Arabidopsis thaliana: one gene and its partners. The protein of the gene in region 3 purifies or fractionates together with the protein of the main gene of each other region. This does not show direct contact. Each region holds a gene or a part of one and is shown on either strand. Other genes may lie near its edges.

Region 1 (7,046 bases), on a different chromosome or scaffold from region 3:
TCGGCCTAGCGGAAACAGAGACAGGAACAACCAAGATGCCACACCACCTGGGGAAGAACAGTCTCAGCCTCCGAATCAGTCTATAGGTAATGGAGGTGACGACTTTCAGACACAGACTCAGTCTCAGTCTCCATCTCAGACTCGGGCTCAGTCTCCATCTCAGGCTCAGGCTCAGTCTCCATCTCAGACGCAGTCTCAGTCTCAGTCTCAGTCTCAGTCTCAGTCTCAGTCTCAGTCTCAGTCTCAGTCTCAGTCTCAGTCTCAGTCTCAGTCTCAGTCTCAGTCTCAGTCTCCATCCCAGACTCAGACTCAGTCTCCGTCTCAGACTCAGGCTCAGGCTCAGTCTCCATCATCTCAGTCTCCGTCCCAGACGCAGACATAAACTCTTGAGAACCAAAGAAGATTTGGTTCGTTTAGGTAAACCATTCAGTCTCCACTGTTTTGTTTTGATGTACATAAAGAGTGGAGAGAATGGCGGTTTTTATCATTAAAAGACTCTGATGTGAAGTGCAAAACAATGTGTAAATGCAGTTCTCTAGTTTCAGATCGTTTGTCCTAAAATCAGGTTTAGGGTTTCAGTGACCGGTTTAGTTATAAAGTCTAGCGGCATTGTAGTGATGTTTTGACATTGACTATTTATCGAGCAATGCATTTGCCATCTCATTTGCTTCTTGTTTGAAACCTTCGAGAGACGAAAATGATTGCCTTTCTAATCGCATAAGCACATGGTTAGAAATTATATCTTGTGTTGACCGATGCAGCTCCTCCGGCAGAAAATCATCTAATTCAAAGAGCTCTTGTGTAATTGCACGAATTGAGAAATCAGTTTAGTTTTATGAAATTGAAATCAATAATAGAGAAATTACATTTTATTCAGATGCATGGATACATTGTTTAAATACATTCATATGAACATTCAACACGGTAGCCTACATCATATATTTTCCCTATACAACGGTTCTTGCAAGAACCACATAATGGTCGAGAAATATTACATTTGGGAAGAACTTGAACCCTGCATACCCATTTATTGAAATATTGACCGGGCTTGATATATGGGTCTCCACCAATTAAGCATTCAATATGAAAAGTGGTGCAACACTCGTTGCACCAGTAGAATACTTTTGTGCATGTATCCTTTAAACTACGTTCACATATTTCACACCATTCTTGCTCACGTACTTCTTCACCAAATGAAATTGTGAGGAAGTGTGTGTCATGCTTATATTTTATTTTGTATGGTAAGGTAACACACTTAAAACATACAATGAAATTGCATTTGATGCAATTTAATTGTTTTAAACATTCTGTTTTGCATATATGACATATGGGTTTTATTTCTGGGTTTAAAGCTAGGAACAAGGGATCTTCATGACCTTTGTAATCAAACGGCTCAGAAATTAAAGCGCACCTTACATCAAGCTTGAAAAAGTTGCATACCTCCATCCTACAGTGATAGGCAAAGCCAATAGAACCACGATCACAAGCGTTGCAACGGAAGGTATTGTAAGTAAAGCTATTGATAACCTCCAATACAAGTGGGTGAGGATGTAAGGCATGTTGGATTCTACGGGGAGCCTTAGCACATGTTTCATGGAGGATGAAATCACACTCCATACAAACATATAAGTTACCTTCATAGATAGGAATGGCACACGCTTGACAAAGCATGTTTTCATCATAAACGTTGCTGACCTCGAGTCGGAGATGATGATTATGATGAAAATAAAGTATCACTCCTTCAGATATCACCTCGAACGGTCCATCATTTTCTGTTATATCGATTATCTCTGGTATACCTTCGAGTTCTTTTCCATCCCACACATCTTTCCCAAGAGCGCATATTGAATGAACAACATAATCGCTACACGTGTCACAAGTATATGCACCATAATCAACGTTAATACTTAAACGGCAAACTCCACAAAACCATTCTCTAGATGTAAGAGAAAAAGTGAACGAGATACGATGACGGTGACGTGATATCTTGATGATGTGTGGGGAATTCATACAGTCATTATGAGTTACAAAGTTACATCTGAAACAAACGTAGGTGGGATAAATTTTTCTCAACAAACCACAAACATTACAAGTCAAGGAAGTTTGTCTGGGGAAAAAAGTGAGAGGATGGATATGCTTTTTTGGTGGGTCTATAAGAAAAGGTATTGGCTTCATCGCACATATGGGATGCATAAAAGCCTGGCATGTGGTGCAATGATAAATCAACCAATGTGCTTTTCTTCCACAACATAAACACTCAATCTTACGAAAGTTATCATCATGAAAGAAAAGTTGGAGATAGTGCTCAGGGTGGTAAGGATGTTTGATTATAAGTGGAGATTGAATGCATTCTTTGTGTAATTTTATGCTACAATAGTTGCAGAAATAATAGTCGGTGCCGGAATTTGAGCCTTCGCATATGTAGCATCCACCATCAGCATCAAATTCTTTATTGTTGCACCAAAACAAAGGGAGTACATGATGATCATGAGAGGTCGTCGTTGTAGAAAGGACGTACTCGGGGGAAGAATTAAGCGGATAAGTGTCTGAATACGACTTGATTTTTCGACGTCGTGATCGAGGGCATAAGAAAAGAGGTTGAAGGTCACTGGAGGAGGTTACGGTCTGTGTTTGGGGTATGGGGCAATATTTCGGATGATGGTATACCAAAACAAGGTTACCATCCTTTTCCACCTCATAAAATCCTCCGACGCTAGAATCCATGAATGTGTTAAGTCTTTGTTTATTTTTGTTTTAGGCTTTTATAAAAAAATATTTGTCATACAAGATATCAAGTTGTTAACATTTTTCCTCTATAAATACGAAAATTTGATTCCAAAAGTTTTCTTCTACTCTTGATTATTAATATACTTAAACGTGAAAACATATGGTTGATTTTGTTCCTTTTCTCAGTAGTTGTGATGATAATGTTCTTCTTTACATGCAAATAAAGAATCAACTTTTCTTTGCACATAGTTTTGTTCATTTCTGATGTTCCATGACTTCAAGACTCTATATTAATCGTGCTCAATGATTGTGCCAATTCATTAGTAGTGTATAATTTGAGACTTTGTGAACTCAATCACGAAACACACAAAAAGAAAATGAAGGTTTATTCAAAAAAAAAAAAAAAATGAAGGTTTGAAATGGAAAATGAAACAATCGTACCAAAACCAAATTGCAAAACGTTTTAAACAAGAAAAGAAGAACACGTAGTTTCAATGATCCGGTTGAATTAGAAAGTAGAACAACCGAACCCACACTAAATTGCAAAACGTTTTGATTAAGATAAGAAGAACACGTATGGAACATTAATTGTAATCTAATGGATCGGTTGGAACCTAAACCATAACTAAACCGGAATACTCATGATGAATTGGAAGTATTTGGGCTCGAAAAAAGCCCATTAAGAAAAATGGAAATAAAAATAGTCACAAATCTCCGTTATTAATTTTTGCCATAAGCTTGAGAACACTTGAAAAGACAAGATTCGCGAGTTCTTCGTTCTGCCTTTTTTTTTTTTTTTGTGTGTTCGAGAGATGTCTGCCTTTGAAGACGATTCCTTCGTCATACTCAACGATGATGCGTCTGAGTCTGTTCCAGTCTCAGGCTCTTTTGACGCCACTGATTCTTTCTCAGCTTTCGACGGCTCACTCCAAGTCGAGGACTCCGTCGACGATGTTTTTGCAGCGCCGTCTTCTGACTACGGTGCTTACTCCAACGGTGACGGCATCTTCGGATCCAACGGGGATCACGACGGTCCTATCTTGCCACCACCGTCGGAGATGGAATCAGATGAGGGATTTGCTCTTAGAGAATGGAGAAGGTTAGATCTACTCAAAGTTTTGATCTTTGTTGCTTTTTGTTTACTTCTTCCTGAAGAAAATCGATAAAGTGGATAAATTTAGTTGAGAATCTCTTTGATAATCTGAGAATTTCAATTTTGAATTTTGATTCACAATTTTTGTGAATTGAAGTTATCTGCTAGTTAGTGTCCATTGTTCTCAGAAGTAATCAGTTTATTAGATTGGATCTGTTACTTTTGCTTAGAGTTTATTGCTCAAATCGTGTGTTCTAGAATAACATCTTGATCCGTAAGCTTGTAATGCTTGTTGAGTTGATTAAGATGTATAGATCTGATTTCGTGCTATGGCTTTATTATGTTTATGTGTAGACAAAATGCAATTCAACTTGAGGAGAAGGAGAAGAGAGAAAAGGAATTGTTGAAGCAAATTATTGAGGAAGCTGATCAATACAAAGAAGAGTTTCATAAGAAGATTGAAGTAACTTGTGAAAACAACAAAGCAGCTAACAGAGAGAAGGAAAAGGTTTGTTCTTTTGCTAAAAGATTTGAATTTTTTATCATCTTTTCTCAATCTGTGTTGTTGTCATGTGGTTTGTGGAGAATTGTCAATGCAAGTCAATGGCTTGTTGATATTAAAATTTTCAAACTTTGACCATCTTAGTCTTAAGTCAACTGTGATTGATTATCTTAATGCATTGTCAGTTTTGAGATTATCTTAATACATTGATTATCTTCATTACGTGTGTGATCTTTGATACCTTTTTATCTGCATATTGCATTGTTACAGTGTTGATTAAACTTTCACTTATGTGTTTATTTGTCTTTGAACACTTAAGCTGTATCTGGAGAACCAAGAGAAGTTCTACGCGGAATCCAGCAAGAATTACTGGAAGGCAATAGCAGAGCTAGTTCCTAAAGAAGTTCCAACAATAGAGAAAAGGAGAGGAAAAAAAGAGCAACAAGATCCTAAGAAGCCAACAGTCTCTGTGATTCAAGGTCCAAAGCCCGGTAAGCCAACCGATCTAACAAGAATGAGACAAATATTGGTGAAGCTCAAACACAACCCACCTTCTCACCTGAAACTCACTTCTCAACCTCCATCGGAGGAGGCGGCTGCTCCTCCAAAGAATGTTCCCGAAACCAAGCCCACTGAGGCAGTTACTGCTGCTTAAAAACCTCCTTTGTTTTCTTATTCGTTGCTTACATCTGTGTGAATTCAGTCTTTGCATTTCATTATGTGTTATAAACAGCTGAGAGATTTTATGGTTCATGTGTGTTATTAACATAATTATGTCATATTGGAATGATAACTTTTTATGTTTTAGTCAGTTACCATTGAATAGTGGTTAATATCTCAAATCAATCGGTTAAAGGATCCATCCATTTTAGGGTTAAAGTAGAGACGAGAGTGGAGAGGTTTACATAAAACATCAAAACGCTACTTCACATATCATCATTATCAAACTCGTGTGATAATTAAAACTCACAAACAATAAAAGAGAATCTCAAATGTGAACGTTTTACAAAAGGCTTTTCTTCTTTCTTCCTTCATCTCCCTTGTAAGCTTGCAGGGGACCTGCAACCTCTCTCGCTGCCTGCGTCGTCTTCCTTTTCACTTGCCTCTAAGCAAATGCCATTGTTGTTGCAGACACTGATCTCTGAGCTTGCGTTGCTGCTTGTTGCTAGTGGAGAAGAGTCTGAAACATTCATCGGTCTACCACGTGTATGTCCAGACCTCACACTGTACATTGATGATGCTGGAATATTCGTCATTAGTGGTCTCAGGTTCCCTGGAATAGTTCTACGTATATCCTGTTTTCATCAAAACGTTTGATCATCAGTTAAACGCAATTGCCACCACTTGAGGAAGAGAGAAGAGAGAGATACATACCATATGCCTTATTGCCATATCAAGGGACTTCTTGGAGAGCGTTCTTCCAAATCCTGCACTGTCGGGTGATGAAGACTTTGCAGACAAGTTACCATGAGGAGAACCCTTGTCATCTGATCTGGGTGGAGCAAGTTTCCGCATGTTTATTACTCTCTCCACCATTTTTGTTCCCATCATCACCGGACTAACATTGTCACTGGCTTTGGAATATCCACGATTAACCGCAGGAACAGAGCTACCACTAGAGTACATTGGTGCTCTTCCTCTTGATGGTGAACATGATTGCCTTCTTGGTCTTCCTCCTGGAGGGCCCCCTGGCTCAACTGAACCAGAACGAGAGCTTGGAGCTCCAGGTCTGCCTCTTGTCGCTGAAAGTGGCCTTTCGGGTAATGTTGTCCTTAGATTTGGAGGAGTTTCTAATGAGAAACCAGGCATGTCTGACGGCTTCCATGGTCTTGACCTCACTGTAGGAGATGCTGCACGAGATAAAGCAGGGTTCTTAGATGGTGTTGGCATAGGCTTTGCTGGCGCTGGAGAAGAAGGCTTGATTTGGGATATTGTGGGATTTGCTGTAGTAGTTGCAGCACTTGCAGAAGCAATTGGACGGCGAGTTGGTGTAGATGACCTTGATATGGTTTTAGATGGAGGAAGTGTGGGTCTTGAAGTTGGTGTTGAAGATCTGGCAGTAGATCTTGACAGAGGTGTGGTGGACCTTGAAGGACCTGCAGATTTTGTGGTGGTGCTAGGGGTAGATCTAGTTACTGAACCAGCAGATCTAGCAGTTGAGGTAGTCGGCTTAGATGCAGTAGGTGTGAGCCTAGATGATGATAAACTTGTTGACCTACTCATAGGCGTGGGCTTAGTCGTTGCAGATACTGTGGACCTCGAGTTAGTCAAAGAAGGTCGAGTAGCTGAGGAGACAGTGGCTCGCGAAGTGGGTGTTGAAGGCCTTGAGGATTTTGAATTTGCCGTCAGTGTTGATGATCTTCCAGTGGGTGTGGCAGGTCTTGATCCAGGTCCTCCAGATGATGAAGGTCTTCGACTTGCTCCACTGGAAGAGCTCAATCCAGGAGAAGAAGTTTGTTGTCTAGATGTTAGATGGTTCCTTGCAGCAGACTCTGTTGAGGAATTTGCCAGCTACGACAGATAATTCATAGGTTACCATAACGAAGTAGTGAAAATGTGCTACTCTAAAAAAAATCCAGAGCAACATCCCACATAGCAATAACGATAAATGCGATTTACTAGTGTAAATCATGAAACTTGAAATGTAAACGTCACAGACTGATGCGGCAGGTTAAACTAGTAGTGGCGATTCAAAACATATAAACAATAACAGCAGAGCTTTAT
Region 2 (8,395 bases), about 11 Mb from region 3:
TTCCTCCTACTCACACACACACACACACACATAAACAAAACAGAACAAACCCATCAAATCAAATTGCATGTAATCTAAAACAAAACGTGTTAAGATTCAAACTTTAGAGTACTTGCTTATACCTAAAGCATCAAGCTGTTTCTTACTAGAACCAGGAGGCCTTCCTCTGTTACGTTTAACAGGTGGATCAACAGAGTTTCCATTTCCACCACTATCTCCAACACCACCCTCACCGTAAGAATTAGAAGCTGCAGAGAGAAGAGGAGACGTAGGAGCTAAACCTAAAGCAATGCTACCATCAGGAGTATACTTTCTCGGCCTTCCTCGCTTCTTCTTCACTTGCAGTTGCTGATTCTGATCATCGATCCCGAATCGCATCGGTTGAGAAGAAGGTGATCCATCACCAAATCCAAGAGATTCAAGAGTCTTCTGATCCATTTGTTGTTGTTGCTGCTGATGAAACGTTTGAGATTGTTGTTGATTGCCAAAAGGAAGACGAGGGTGTTGAATCGGTTGAGATGTGGAAGTGGGAACCATTAATGGTGAAGCGGCGGCGTTAGGGTTACGGTAATGAGACATTAACATTCCCGGTGGTGGTTGAAGCTGGTTATGTGACGGTGGGATGTCTCTGGAATCCATTAGAGCAGAGAGAGAGAAGGAAGGAAGAAGAAATCAAACTCAAAGATTGTTTCTTTCGGCTTAATTCTCGTAAAGGATGAAACTTTCTGTTTTGTGAATTCCGAGAAAATAGAGAAAGCGTGTGAGCTAACAACTCTCTCTCTCTCTCTCTCGCTTCTCGCTTCTCGCACACATACAGAGAGAGTCTCGAGGAGAGACTAGTGGGAGAGATGAAGTGTGGCGGAAAATGTAAATTTAATAGGAAGAAAAAAAATGAAATCATCTTTTTATTTATAGGATTTTTAGGAGATTTTATTTGAGTTTGTTTTGTTAATTTTATCTGAATTGATTTGGTATTTACTTACGTGAGGTTTAAGCATTCGAGAAAATATTTTTGAATCTTTAGTAGATTGTAGTTGGTTTGTTTTCATTATCATCCAAATTATAGCAGAAATATTTGTGGTCATCCGTTTTTATTAAGAGTTTATAAAAATAAAAATACTTCAGTTTGGAGATGAGAAAAAAGAGTATTTGCATTGGATATATTATAAAAAATAACACAATAACTTGTGAATGATTAATAACGAATTCTGAAGTTAAAAATCCTTAAACTTCAGAATTCGTTATTGATATTTGTGGAAGGTATCCATGTCGTCGGTTGTTGCATTCTCGTCAAACATTATAGGGAACTTTGAAAAGTAACGTGATGCAAAAACAAGACACCCAGCTTGTGGATTTCAGAATACCGACGAGGTGATCCCAATCGATGGAGAAGCAGTTCAATAGAATCATGTTTGTTGTCTTAGACCATATTTGAGTTGCATGTGAGTAGCAAAGTATCCATGATATCTGGTGTCTTGTGGGCAGAGAGCCACATGACACAGTCCAAAGAACCACCATGACCACATTTGCCATAAGCGAAGTTATAGAAATTCGATCATGCATAACCAACCACGAGTGAAAGACGTACTTGGGTGTAGCTTTGATAGTCTATTACTTTTACAATTTCCCGTTTGTTTCTGAAGAATTAGTAGACTTACAAAAGATTTTAACGATCTATGTTATGTGTAAAAACCTTCGAAGTTCGAACTATTCTCAAGTAAAATTTGTTTTCATTAACATATTACACCCGATTCTACTACTAAAAAGAATCCGACTGCTTTCACAAATACTCTATCACGTTCGATTACACCAGAATTAATCTAAACTATATCTCGTACAATTTCACAAACAGAGAAAGAAAGAAAAACAGAATTCAATACCAAATTAAGACATAAGAAATCATATTAACACAGATATCTCTAATCGACAAAACAAACATAAAACAAGGTATAAAACATATTTAACTCTTTTGTTTTTGTTTTGCATAAGGAACAAAAAACTAGAAGCCATGAAACTTTTAAGTCTGATGTCACTGAACCTGAACTGTGTTTAATGTTCAGCATCTGATCTCGTAAGATCCCGCTTTCGTTATGTATCGAACCCACTCGACCGTGTTGTAACCGCTCTTCTCCCAAACCTGCCAATCGTTCCGGATAGTCAGGTCCAAAAAAGTAGTATAGCAATCAATTTTTGAAAGACCAGAGACAGATTAACCAAAACGCAAATCACATAAAAGATTTGAACGGATTTAATGACACAATGGCTTAGAGATTCTGCTACTTAGCATTGCATTTTTTGGAAGGATGGTACTTTCAAAAGCATAGATAACAATGCGTACCTTGAGAAAACGAACTCGCAGACCAGATGCTGTGAACATTGGCACCTAGAAAAGAACAAAGCTGAGACGGTTAATAATTGCTTTAAGCAAATCTGGTTCTATTTAACAGTGCCTAAAAGAGACAAAGACTGACCTGAAATTCCATTTGGATCGGTGGCCTTGTCCAAGATTTCTTCTCTCCCATTGTTGAGATCAACTCAATTTCTGCACTTAGCGTGGACTCTGTTTGCCCTGGGAATTTTCTTATCCTAAAGAGTAAAAGAGAGAAAGATGCCGAATGATTGATAAAACACCAACAAAAGAATTATAGAGATGAATATGAGGGGAAATTATATAAACTCACTTCCAAACCAAGCAATCGATTGATGGATTGTATTTAGCGCGACCAGTTGTCACTTGGAAATTGGTCTTGGCTGTTTGTTTTGGCACTGGAATTTTAACCACGACCCCAAGGGCAAACATTTTAGCACCAAACACACTTTTGACCTGAACAGACAAAACACGGGAAGGGATTGTAAGAGAGCAAAGATCAAGCCAATTTTTTTGTATCCTGTAATCCTTGAGAAAAGTTATGTACCTTGACATTTACTTCCATACGTGTACGACCAAGTTCTTTGATTGTTGGTAATACACGGAAAGGCAGATTTACACCCTCTGTTATTCGATACCTGAGACATCATAAAGTTAATACACATTTGGTACCAGAACAATTTGCAACAGTGGACATTCGAAAACTTACTTCATCAGTTCAAACTCTCCATCCGGTGGTACAAAACTAACAGTCTTCTCGGAGTTGAATCTGGTCAGGTTCACACACTGGTGAAATGTGACATCATCAAGCTCAATGGTTTTACCACTGCACAAAACGAGAGTCAGTTAGCACAAAGAAAAGTCAGTGGCTACTGATGTTCAATGTATTAACAACGTATACCTCTTAGCTGGGCGAGATTTCATTTCTGATTCCTTCTCAAGACCAATTTTATCATTCAACCCCAACTTCAAATCAGGCATTCCCGAAAGGAAACATTTCATTAAAACCTTCCCCGTCACATCACACCGAAGAACATTGCCTAACCGTTTCCATAAAATGCAAAACCAGTCATACACAGCAAATCAACAAGAAAGACAACTTCAAAAAACTTCATAAAAGGCAATTATTTACCTTTAGAGGACATCAGAAGGTTTACACTTTCCACAATATCCAGAAACACCTGCGTTTGAGAGAATGCAAAATATCATCACTACCGCACAACCTAGCCGATCTACATACACACAGAAAGAAACTCAACACTCACCTCATTCTTTTTGTAAGCAAGGCCCTCTCTTCTCCAACCAACAGCACCTGTAACTTGTAATGTTGCATTTGGAACAGGTTTGTCTTTTGGCTGTAATGAAAAGAAGCTTATGAATGCAAACATATCTAGTGAAGAAGCAACATAATCTCTATTTATTGCGGGAAATACTGCTTAACTTCGAAGAACCACACACCAACACAATTACAAAATCTGTTGTATACACAAACAAATAGATGCCTTTACCTTCGATGAAAATGGTGACCGTACACCTTCCTGAGTGATATAAAGTTTTAAAATTTCAGGTGAGAGATTTTGTGGATAGCCAAAGTCCATAATCTCTGCAATTCAATACAAAATATCATTCATTGGTGTTACCACAAAATAGAATAACATATAACGACTAATGCAACTTTACAAGTGATAAGAAAGTGATTTGATCATGACCCTATCAGGCTTACTTACCATCCAACAATTCATAAATCAGAACAAAGTTATTTCTAATAGCGTCTTCATCAAAAGCTCCACCAAAGTATGATTTGAACAAAGCTACAGCCTGAAAATGTGAATCAAAAGCAGTATGTGTATAGAATCAATCTGACTCTCTTGAAATTTGAACAAGAATCAAAACAATTGTGGAATATTAAAATGAAACACAAAAACAAGTTTACCTCAACAACAAATTTGAATCCACAAGCAACATTAGCATTGCTACTGACAACAATGACGATGTAGACATTGCTGATTCGCATATAAACAAAGGAGCAGCCACCAATCTGACGCACAGGACAATTCCCTAACTCTTTCGTCTGCATTATATGCGTACGAAATGCATCCACCATGTTTCCCCTAAGTATCAAAATCAAATCAAAATTTTAAAATCTCAAATCTCACAGCTAAAATCCTACAAAGTACGACTACTTAGAAGCGATAAGAACAAAACATGGAGCTGAAAATGAAGCCGAATTCAAAAAATTAAAGAGATCGACGGTGAAGAAAAGGAGAAGCTCTCTTACCCGACGTCATCTCGGTAGGTGCGATTTATGAGTACATCGCCACGGAGATTCAGAAAATAGATGGCGGAAGCAGCCACCGGCATCTTCGATCTGAGATTCGAAACGCAGATCGGATAATTAGACGATCTGGTTACAGGAGATTTGAGATTTGAGGTTCGACGAGATCTCGACGACGGAGCAAAGGAAGAAGACGACGACGAAGAAGTTGAACAACTGAAATGCGATATTTTTTTAATTTCTTTTTTATCAAAAAATAGAAACAAAATTGAATTCAGTCGTCATTTTGGAATGGGCCGGTCTTATTCGATTCTGGGCCTGTGCGTCTCAATTATGGGCCTGTAGTACATTATATCCTTCATCATTTTTAATTGTTGTTTACATATGAAGAATGGTTAGGTAACAAACAATGTATAGAAGTTCTTAATTTTCAATTATTAACACTAGGTGATCACCTGCGCTACGCCGCGGTATTTTCGGATTTTTTTCGTATTGTTTAATTTAAATATAATTTTTATTTATCTAATTATTCACTTATACAATAAACAATTCCTTTTAATTTTAAAAATATTTTTTCTAACAACATTCTCAACAATGCATCATACACATAATTCATAAATAACGTTTGTATTAAACCAACTTAAGAGAGGGTAGTTTTGGATTCTAGAAACCTAAGAATTTGATGATGGAGCTCCTTACGTATTCTTCAACCTCAATGATTTATTGTATAAATATAAATTTAAGAGAATATAATATCAATTTAAGAAAATAACTTACTCAAATCATTAAATAATCCACGACTATTATATACTCATACTTTGAGTTTGGATTACAAAAAAAAATCTTCGAGTATGAGAAAACTATTAAATGGTTTTATTGAAAAATCATGTAATATTAAAATAAATTTAGTAATACTATAATTAAATATGTAAAATTAAATAATAAATATATCATTAACTTATAAATTAGAAGTTGAAGAGCTTACATTAATTACTTAATAGACACATGGCAAATGCTAAAATGATGATGTGTCAATCATTTGGAGAGAGTTAGCCAACTTTCATATATATGATTAACACGAAACTTTTCGAATTTTTTTTGTTCAATTCTCTCTGATGTCAGTGATGTGTAAAAGTAAAACTGTAAATGATCGCAATTTTTTTTTTTGTTCACTCACGAGAGAAAAAAAAAATGTGGAATATTTATTTAGTATATTAATAGAAACCGCGCCGTTAATGATAAAAAGAAGATCTTGCTCGATCCGTCTTTGATCCAAAAAAAAATTCATCTTTCTATAATTTGTTGCAGTGCATAAGAAGATTAACACAGTGTTCACGAGAGAGAGAGATTAAAGACAGAGATTTCTGGGTTTTAACAGTAGGAAATGAATATTGTTGGATTAAGAAGCGATCGGAGAAAGTAGCAAAAATCGGGAGAGGAAAGGGATATTCGAAAACCCTAATTTTGGAAGATCATTCATTTGAGAGAAAAGCTGTTAAATTTGAGGGCTTTAGATCGAATTTGATATCTGGGGTTAATGGGTTTTTTGAAGAAGTTAACGGGTATACTTGGTTTTGGTCATAACGATGGTGGTGGTGGTCATGGAGCTGTGAGAGATGAAGATGGTGATGGTGGAGATAACAACACTGGAACTGTTTCTGGTGATGGAGATAAACGTCGGGAAGAGAATCAGACGAGATTTCGTGAAACTGGACCAAGGAAAGGTTTTGGTGTACCGGTTCAAGTTGCTGTTGAACGGTCGAATCCTGGTCCTATTCTTCAGCCTTGTGCTGCTTTAGACGGTGGTGTTCAGGTCAGTTTTCCTTTTTGACTGATGATATTGGTTAGTGAAACTCTAGGGATTGATCAAATTCATGAGAATATGTGAATTACTTGTTGCTAGCTAGATAAAGAGTTATGGTTAAGTCTTACGAAGATCTGTAATGTGGTATCACATAGTGCAGTTTCATGCTAGTTCTGTAGCTGGATTGTGTATTCATACCTTTGGTTTGGATCACACTAAGTTGGATAATAAATTGGTTTGTGAGTTTGCGAAGATTCAGTCGTCTCTGTGGCCTACATTCATTTCATGTTCTGTGCGGGTGCCTTGCTTTTTTTTCACTTTAATATGGCCTCAAGATTGGCTTCGATATGCTTGTGTTTCATAAAAAGTACTTTATATGCTTCAGTAGATGACTTTACATTCGTCATTTCTTTATGGTTTTTCCAAATTCTCTGAATGATCTTATAGATTTTGATGTCTTTGTAATTGTAGTTCATTGTCTTTTCTTACTCTCTGTTCATTCATCTTTGCTCGTAAAGTTAATGTATAGTCCTTAAGATACTGCCATGTCAGGGATATGTGGTTTAGCTTGTTGTAAGATTAGTTGCGGCAGAAGAAAGTTCCTCGAAACAAGTATTAATCATAAGCCACCCATGCTAAAATAAAGACCTTAAAGAATCTTAATTAGTTATATTGGTAGAGAAAGACGATAATAAGCAAGAAGATTTATATTGCCAAGATTATTCAGTTATCTTTCTGCGATTATGTGTATCTGGTTCATTGAGTTCTTCTTGATGGCATTGACTCAAATTAGAGTCTGAGCCGAGAATTTTACTAGCGAACCTCTTATTTGGATCAGGGACTACGTTGGTACTCGATGCGGCTTAAGATTGATGAAGACGGAGATGTTGCAGATGAGTTCTTAGAAGACCAAAACTGCAAGACTTTACCAAGAAAGTGCAAAACAAAAGCTGCAAAAGTGAGAGGTTTAGTGATATCTTCTGATGGGAAACTTCAGCCATTAATGCATTGAACAATGAAAACCAAGGAGAAAGATTTGCTGAATAGTGTGTGATTGAATCAGAGAAAGGTTAGAACTTGTGTTTCATTAATTTCGATATCAATCCATTAGATTCTTGAGAACTTATAATGTTATTTAACTGTGAATTTAGTTTCTGAAAATAGACAGTGATTCTCTTTGGGATTATCTAAACACATTTGTGCAATTGTGTATTTCTACTACTACTACCAAGTTCTCTGTTTTGCACACATATGAATCCTTTTCTTATACAAGACCTCCAATTTTCGCTCGATATGATGTTTTTAGATTCTTGTTATAAATTGAATAGCAAGGAATGATTATTAATATATGATTCATATTGCATCTGAATCTAAGCAGTTTAAAGAAGTAAATAATATTTGAAAATCGTAACTGGTTATGAAACTTATAAAGATTTTGGCTATATTGTTTGCATAAAGGTAACAGAGTATATATTTGTATGCAATGAAAAAAAATGAAATAGAAAATAACATTTTCTCAAAAAGAAAGTTTAAAGTATTGATTTTCTGATAAGCTTACCTAGTTGAAAAGTATGTTAGAGAAAGTTCAAATACTATGAATCTAATTTATTTTTCTTTCTTACAAACAATGAATCTAATTGGTGATGATTTATTTTGGATTTTTAATATATAAACATACATCAACTAAAATAATAACTAAAATAATAACTACAAGACTTGTAGAAAAATACTAATATCTACAAGAATATAATTTGCCGAACGGCGTGAAAAAAAAAATTCGTATATTCTTGTAATATTTTTGTTAGTCAATCGCTAATTAACAACAGTATCTATGTGATTGAAATTAAAATGTTAATAAAATAGTTTAAAGCCAAGGACTTAGGAAAAATAAAATATCTACGATGAAACTATAACATTAGTGGGCTTAGTTTTATATTAGGTCTGTCAT
Region 3 (7,787 bases):
CTTAATCCTTCCTTTCTGTTAAACTTCACAAATCATAAGGAGACTAAAAATCAAGAAATATTAATATAAAGTAAGGTCAAAGACTTACCTGCAGCAACTCTTCGACTATATCCTTTGCATTTGACACATCACACATCCCATATAATAAATCAAGAGCACGCCTACGAATACTGCAGGAAAGTTCAACCAATAGTGAATCTGACACCATAAGCAAAAGAACCAAGAGATGATAAATCAAACTATATGTTTGTAAAACGGAAGCCACCATTTGCAATGGAAATAAGATCAAGACATAATGGACTGTGGTACTTATCCATCTTTTACTAACAAACGTCATCGAAATAGTGCTGACCCACCGGCCAATAATATAATAATATAATATTTCTTATGTGACCGTATACCACATATAATTATACCTATAGCTTATCACAAGAAAACAAATCAACAAATAATGTTTCACTAAAAAATATAGATCCCATTTTCTTAAAATTTCATATATACTACCCAAATCAAATAATTTTAATGCTGACAGAAATAATCTTATTCACAACTACTATAGAGACAAAGTAAAAAACGGTATATTAAATCATAAGAAGTAAGACCGATTTGATGATTGAAAAACTGTCGTACTGGTTCCAAATTAGAACAGTAACGAGATACTGATCCGGGTTCACAAGCCAGAAAAGCTGATGCTTAGATGGCAAATCTAAACCAACCTGATGTCAGGGTCTTTCAAGGAGGTGATTATCTGAGACTGATGCTTCTTTATGATATCTTGAACATCTGTGACCATCAGCATCCGCGTCATATTTTCCTGTAATTTTGTCAAAAAATGCATCATGAGAAACCACCAACCACTTCACAAACTACTCCAGCTAGGCTTAGATGCAGGAAGTGGTATGCAAGATCTCACCAAGCCTAGATATCTGATGTTGGGCTCACGGACAGAAATAAACTTGCCAAGAAGAGCAACACACTGTGACATCATTTCCTTCTCAGCATCAAGATGCATGACCTATATCAAAACACATTAAAAAGTTAGGAGGTTGCACACTAAGCCAGAGAACTGTTAGGAACAATTAAGTCAACTATCCATGATAAACCTCTTAGAAATAGTGGCGAAACCTTCAAGCAGAGCATCTAAATTTATTTTACTTTCACACAAGAAAAACAACAGACAAAGAATATCGTACAATTAGCTGCAAGCAATTCAAACACTTGAAGTTTCTCTAGCAAAGCCAAAAAATATATTTTAAACGTCCATGCACACATCAGTAGTCTGCTTTGAGTAAATGCGTCTTTACAGGACGTTGAGCAGGGGTGAAGGGGAAGAGAGAGAAAAATAGGTGCCCACTAGTAAAATTCATGGTATCAACATTTCCCCAGCTATCCGACGAACTTACCAGGGATAGAGCTTCAAACAGCACAGCATGAGACGCATTGTTTTTATTCACATTTTTCACAACATCTGTCCCCATCAATATTCGCTGAAGGACCTGAAATTTCCATGAAATGCCATGCCATGAGAGGAAATTCAAAGACATATATTACAGATTTACACATGAAAATATTGAACCTCAAACAGAGCTTTTCTGGTACTGGGATCTTCAATGGTCGGGAAATATTGAAGAGCCCTCATTGCCTTAACCTGTACTAACCAAAGATATATAAGTATCCACGATATCTTTAACTGAGTAACAAAAATACACCAAAGCTGGGCCAAGCCTCTATTTTCATAAGCTAATTTCACATAAAATGTTTAAAATGCACAGGATTTGTGAAAAGGATGCGATTAAAGAATATTTAAGCTATTAAACAAGAGTGAATAAGCCGAGTTAAGTCAAACCTGGAGCCAAGGAGATGGGATGCCATAGTATGTGTACTCCTGAGGAACATCTTGGTTCCTAGCAAGGCGTTCTAATATTTTGACACATTTAGGTAGACAACTTGAGTACGCCTCATGATTATTAGATACCAGAGCTACAAGAAGACTCGTAGAAGACGTCAAGACACCAAGATCTCGTTCATCCAAAAGTTGTGCCATACGATCCGCCCTGGAAGTATACGACAAAGAGAATATGAAAGATGCACTAGTAAAATCAAAGAACCAGTAACCCCACAGTGTTATACACACCAGCCATCCACGTTGACAGCATCAGGATTTTTTCGGAATAAGCGCAGTAGGCACAGTGCTGCTTTTTTCCTTACAAGAGGTCTGCAACTACTAGAAATCTGCAGCAAAGAGACCCCATAACATAATATGTTTAGTAATATTGGAAAAAAATATAACCTCTCATCTTTAGGAGTCACTTACAAGTAGCTTTTGAACATCAGGTGCCAATGATTCAGCAAAATCCCTTCCACCGATATTTCCAACCTACAGGAGAACGTAAGCATGGCAAGGTAAGAAAGCTAGAAAGAAAGGACCAGTTTCATGAAGTAAGTGGCTCTGAATCGTGAAATGATAGAGCACAAAAGACATAATGTACCAAAGACTTCCATTAAAACAGTCATTTAACAACATCTTATAATCAGAAGAACCTAACTATGCTCTAAAATCTCAATACAGGGTGGACAAAAGACCACATACCAAGGTCAGTGCTAGGCACTGGAAAGTCTCATTCCGACCAATAATATCGTTCCGCACTGTATTTATTGCCAACTTCAAAAAGTCATGGTTCTCATTGAGCAAGCAAGATGTAACAATGTAGCCAACCTGTAATCATGGATGAAAAGTTCAATACCTGCAAATTAGTTAAGGAGCATGAAACAATATAAATTGGAAATACAAACCCTTGAGATACAATGCATGGTTCTGGTTAAGAGTTTCTAAGATGTTACTAAGTAACTCGTGCTTATAAGTAATTGTCTGCAATACTTTCCCAGGTCAAGTCAAGTTGCAAACGCATGAAATGGTATCTAGATCTAACTGTGTGATCTTCAATGAAACTTTCTTTGTTTCAGCTTGATCAATAGAATATATTTCAGCAAACACCTCCATCTATTATCTTCTCCTAGCCTTACAAAGAAAAATTTCTTTGTTTGAGCAAACAAAACGTTGGTTTACCTGCTTTTCTGGATACTTTGGCGCAGATATAAGAGAAACCGCCTCCATATGGCCAAAATCCACATCGTAGCCTAGCATATGTATATAAAGCATTTTCCAGACATATTTCTTCTTTTTATATGGTGTCAAAACCTGCAAAAATAAAACAGAATGTCAAGTAATCAAAGAGTTCTTGATTAATTCATTTCTAACATGAACCCCGAAAAAGAATAAGTTTAATGTTGGTCCAACTGGAAACACATGGATCCACTACAGGCCTGCTACAGCTCTGCTACGTGTAAGATGGAACAAGAATTTCACTCCAGAAGTTCTTACAGCAACAAAGCTTAATCTACTTCGTAATGAGCTATTCAAAATTTTCCGTGACCATGATTTAATTTCTTAGACCATCACTACATAACCGAATTTACTGCCAGACCATTCTTTTCTTCTAGTTCCTAAATGTCATCATATATTCAGTAATGAAATTCCAAGTTGAAAGCAATAGTAGTGATGTTTCAAAAGGTAGAATAATTGCTAATCTACAAGGATTTGAGCTAGCTATACAACGGCAACATTATACTGCCTATCTATTTTCACAATTGGTGTTAAATCAAAATTTATTGCCTCAATCCGATAAAGTAAGAAACTACAAGCTCCAAAACTATCCACTCGGCATGTGACCAGTGACTGTATCTTTGTTTCATCTACATTCTTATCTAACTCCCTAATCAACCTAATAGCTCTAACATTCGATTGCATTGGCATTGCAACTGCGAAGGATAAATCTCCAATATCTCTAATAAACCAAAACCTCAGCGGATACTCGACACTGAATTACCTCTCTAATGAGAATCAAAACATAGAAAATAGAATGGAGAGAATTGAGAGTAACCTTCTCATTCTTGAAGCATGTACGAATGTTTCCGAGCTCCTTATCAACTCGTAGTCTCTCCGCTTCCTTGTTCTGGCAATTACGAACGTCGCTGATAAATACGGAGAGACCTCTCATTCCGGTCATGGTTGAACCAAATCCTCAAATCCACCGTGCTCCGCCGCCTCACACGGCGCAGATCCAAACTCGCGGCACCGGATCTAACTACGAGATAAACCACAGACTAAAGCTGAAGCATAAGCAATTCGAGAGAGGTGAGATCGAAATCCCAATCTAGAAACGGAAAATGGCACCTTCAATCGAAGAAATTCAAAAGGAGAGACTGATCTTTGGAGAAGAGAGACACGCCTGCGGGAGAGAGACGAGAGACGACTTTTATTTTTCTTTATTTACAACTTTGACTATTCAATTTTGTGTAATTCAGTTTTTGTCTGTTTTGAAATTGGAATCCGAAATTGACCCGTCGAAAAACAGAATTAACGCGTCTAGACATTTGGACTAAATTTGAGGATTTATAAGTTTGCGTAATATTTTGTTAAAAAGTGTATCCTTCTGCCTTTTTGGGTAATATTTATTTACTGCTGTTTCTGGTTTCACTTTTTCATTTATTTTTAAAATGACTGTTTTCTGTCGCGGTCAATGCATTCAGTTGTAATTCAATGTACCATGAGAAAATCCTTAACAAAAAAAATGTACCATGAGAAAATCCGGTTATGAATTCGGGTCAGGTCAGGTCATGCAATGGTTTAGCTGGTCCCAACTTTTTTTTTTTTTTTTTCGTCAGACATGGTATTTGTTGGTATTAGTGGGAACGAAACAAATGGTTTATACGCAGTGCTGATTTGATTATTTTTTGTTATGAGCATTTTATAATTTTACTCAATGTATTATGAAATCTTTTGAATAAAGATTTTAGATACTCTATATTTCAGATAACAATTTTGCTAGAATCATTGCAACCAAATTACTCTGGTGAATAGGAAAGTATTGTCACTACTCTCGTTTTTGAAATACTAAATGTGTCTCATAACAAGATCATAATCTACAAGACGATGAATAGGACGAATTGTTGAGCTAGAAAAGCAGTGACGGCGATAGCGTATGCTCCTAGGATGTTGTTGTTTGGCAGTTTGAGTATCGAACTCGTAAACTTATATAACTAATGGAAGCACCAACCATTAAACTACAAGGCTTTTATATGATTGTGATGATAAAGCATCAGCTTGCTGGGCTTTAGATTTGGGTCGGCCCTGCTTATTGAACATTTTTAGTTTTATGGAAGATATTGTCCCTTTGCGTTAGCAACATCGGCTGATTTCTTAGGTATTTCGAACAGCTCCAATATCTCGGTTGAGTTTTTCTTCAAGGCATGACAAATTTTAGGGTATTCGATACTTTAAGAGAAGTTGCTTCTTCAACTTGAGCGACATTGATGTTGGTGAAGCAAACTTGCAAAAGTCAGACTTACTCAAATTTTGCTTAATCACTCTTGTTTCACAAGCCCCGGATCTAGGGTTCTTATATTTTTTTTTATTTGCAAAATTACAAATGATATAGTAATATAAAAAAATCATACTTTTGTCAATTACAAATTATGTAGTAAAAACAAAAAAAAATCATGCAAAAATTGATAAAACAGCTTTTAAATCCATAAGCAGTTTGTAAGAAAATTAAAAATAGTAAAAAAAAAATTTTCTTTCAATTATATTCTTCAAAGTAATAGTAAAAATCTGGTTGTATATATGTCGGTTGAATGTCCCACCAAGGCCAAGTCCCCACTCTATTCACACCTCAAATTAGATCAGGTTTTTACAGGTGAAATGCTATGCGTTGGATGTGTTTTTGCAATTTCCCCCCTTTATGACAACATTAAAATCTCTCAATGTGAAGGCTGGTGCGAAAAAACAGACCTCCCATCAGAAAACTCATGGAGAAACAGATTGAAAATATATAGGCACAAGAACAAGCTGATACAACCACTGACCTCACAATACAAATGTTCAGAATGAATGCAAAATTTCTTACCTAACGCAACCCGCCCGCTTTGGATAAACGGCACAAATATAATCAAAACTAGCTTTTTTCTCTCCCTTGGCTCTACATTTACTCTCCCATCATTCCATATTTTCGCCATTACATTCTACAATAACAGAAAACAAACTTTTCGACATGTGCAAGTAATCTTTTATCCCAATGAATTTAAAGTAAGCCAGCAAGCATAGCTCCTGGATCATCAGCTAAAGCCGCTGGGCTAGGCGGTTGAACTGCTGGTGATGGTGCTGGACCTGCTGCTGGAACTAGAGCTCGAGATCCCATTGGAATAGTAATTAATTGTTCCTTGATGAATTCTTTTAACCTGTAGATAAAAGGGGTCAACAATTGCAAATGAAGAAAATCTGTGATCGAGGTTGGGTTTGTGATTAAGAGGCAGATATATCATACTCAAATGTAAGGGTAGGATCTCCCGAGCCTACTGTCAATCGTAGTTGGGTTCTGTCCGCTGGGTCTGTTTCAATTCTTGCCTGAAAATCGCAAACCAAGGAAAATGTCACACGTCATTACTATAAGTCTTAAGAAATTTTAGAAATTGGAGTGGCAAGTGCCAAAACCAGGAAGTGAAACTTGGTGAAATCTCACCAAACAGAGCATGGCTCCTGTAGTTTCAGAGTAGAAGGTTGTGCTTGCCACTAGATTATTAGGGTTTGGATCCTACGACAAAAAACAATACAAGTTAAGTTTGAAGTATACATGTGTGCATGAGGAATGAAGGTTTGAGATCGTAAACAACTACTTACAAGCCCAGGGCATATCGTCACATGAAAACTGTTGAACAGATTTGCCATTTCCGGAAGAGCTAGAGGTCTTACACCTCTTACCTGAAAGAGATTGCAGTATCAGATTATATAACGCATAAAAGTAATGCTGCATTAACGAGCATGTGTAGAAGTGTTGGAAGTTCTCTATAAGTGTTGTAGCGAAAGCTAATTCACTAATTTCATTGAAAAGAAAATTCTTAGAAGCCTTTGACTACTATCCTGCGCTACTCAAATACTTTTAGTTTGATATTTGATCAGAGAAGCTGTGGAGATACATACCACTTCCTGAAGTTTCAAGGGTGGCCCTGAGATTGCTCTCCATTGAGGGAAGAACTCTTCAGATGTCAATTGTAGAGGTTGAAGAAACTTATTCAAGGTTGCCGGGATGCGTAATTTGGCACTGACCTATAAAAGATCCAGCATATCAGGTAGAGTCACAGATACTAAATATACCATTCACCAAAACAAGCTAAGTACTGTTGCAGTACGTACCACGTTTGTACCAAACTTGTAGGAGAAATCCAAAACTGCAACATCCCTACTAGGGCGGATGTTCATCACTTCAAGCGGAGATTGTACCTATAACCATGAAAAAAATTGCAACACTTAGTACATTATGCATAAATGAGTAGAAAATGACGGATTGAGTAGTCAAACTTAAATAAATCAACAAACAAAAGTACCTGTGCTCGAGGAGGAATTGTATCAGGTACTGGAGACAGATCCAGTCTTAAGTGGGCAGGGGGTAGTATCAGAGCTTGAACTGATGTAAGTGGAGAAGTATTCTTGTTTCCCATGAAGAGAACAAGTCTCCCATGGTGTCCTCTCCATTCAGCTTTGATGCCAATCTGAGGAATACAAACAATCAACAAAATGGGAACATAAGAAAGCTCGGAGGCTTGTCTGCTGCATACTTGAATAAATAAAAGCAGAAACTAGAAAAAAACAAACCTGGATATGAGGATCCTCGTATAAGACACCACTGTCTTTCAAACATAAAGCATGAAATCTCTCAGCAATATTTCCGATA

The links.
Region 1: the proteins of alpha-ADR (region 3) and CLC2 purify together in Arabidopsis thaliana (affinity purification with western blotting, with the first as the bait; one study listed by BioGRID). This does not show direct contact.
Region 2: the proteins of alpha-ADR (region 3) and AT5G46630 purify together in Arabidopsis thaliana (affinity purification with mass spectrometry; 4 studies listed by BioGRID, with this or other methods). This does not show direct contact.

Annotation. Positions count from the first base shown.
Region 1 is NC_003071.7:16,723,025-16,730,070, forward strand, and holds CLC2 (Clathrin light chain protein), read left to right. Parts: upstream 1-3,399; 5' UTR 3,400-3,539; coding exon 3,540-3,826; intron 3,827-4,174; coding exon 4,175-4,328; intron 4,329-4,641; coding exon 4,642-4,977; 3' UTR 4,978-5,183; downstream 5,184-7,046. Other genes in the region: NRPD1B (nuclear RNA polymerase D1B), read left to right, coding at 1-382; AT2G40050 (Cysteine/Histidine-rich C1 domain family protein), read right to left, coding at 895-2,724; AT2G40070 (flocculation FLO11-like protein), read right to left, coding at 5,354-5,617, 5,697-6,833.
Region 2 is NC_003076.8:18,916,914-18,925,308, reverse strand, and holds AT5G46630 (Clathrin adaptor complexes medium subunit family protein), read right to left. Parts: upstream 4,872-8,395; 5' UTR 4,730-4,871; coding exon 4,647-4,729; intron 4,480-4,646; coding exon 4,302-4,479; intron 4,187-4,301; coding exon 4,096-4,186; intron 3,972-4,095; coding exon 3,877-3,971; intron 3,724-3,876; coding exon 3,634-3,723; intron 3,550-3,633; coding exon 3,501-3,549; intron 3,409-3,500; coding exon 3,270-3,408; intron 3,195-3,269; coding exon 3,078-3,194; intron 3,007-3,077; coding exon 2,916-3,006; intron 2,825-2,915; coding exon 2,682-2,824; intron 2,587-2,681; coding exon 2,472-2,586; intron 2,384-2,471; coding exon 2,249-2,383; 3' UTR 2,138-2,248; coding exon of another isoform or gene 2,057-2,137; 3' UTR 1,864-2,056; downstream 1-1,863. Other genes in the region: AT5G46640 (AT hook motif DNA-binding family protein), read right to left, coding at 1-6, 123-639; AT5G46620 (uncharacterized protein), read left to right, coding at 6,181-6,456, 7,286-7,459. UniProt on the Arabidopsis thaliana protein: Subunit of the adaptor protein complex 2 (AP-2). Adaptor protein complexes function in protein transport via transport vesicles in different membrane traffic pathways.
Region 3 is NC_003076.8:7,583,960-7,591,746, forward strand, and holds the start of alpha-ADR (alpha-adaptin), read right to left. Parts: upstream 4,364-7,787; 5' UTR 4,068-4,363; coding exon 3,942-4,067; intron 3,200-3,941; coding exon 3,068-3,199; intron 2,717-3,067; coding exon 2,591-2,716; intron 2,378-2,590; coding exon 2,315-2,377; intron 2,233-2,314; coding exon 2,135-2,232; intron 2,055-2,134; coding exon 1,847-2,054; intron 1,649-1,846; coding exon 1,577-1,648; intron 1,497-1,576; coding exon 1,404-1,496; intron 1,016-1,403; coding exon 914-1,015; intron 815-913; coding exon 717-814; intron 171-716; coding exon 89-170; intron 1-88. Other genes in the region: AT5G22785 (uncharacterized protein), read left to right, coding at 5,684-5,746, 5,757-5,885; AT5G22780 (Adaptor protein complex AP-2, alpha subunit), read right to left, coding at 6,141-6,297, 6,384-6,463, 6,579-6,650, 6,737-6,817, 7,037-7,162, 7,250-7,336, 7,441-7,605, 7,709-7,787. UniProt on the Arabidopsis thaliana protein: Subunit of the adaptor protein complex 2 (AP-2). Adaptor protein complexes function in protein transport via transport vesicles in different membrane traffic pathways.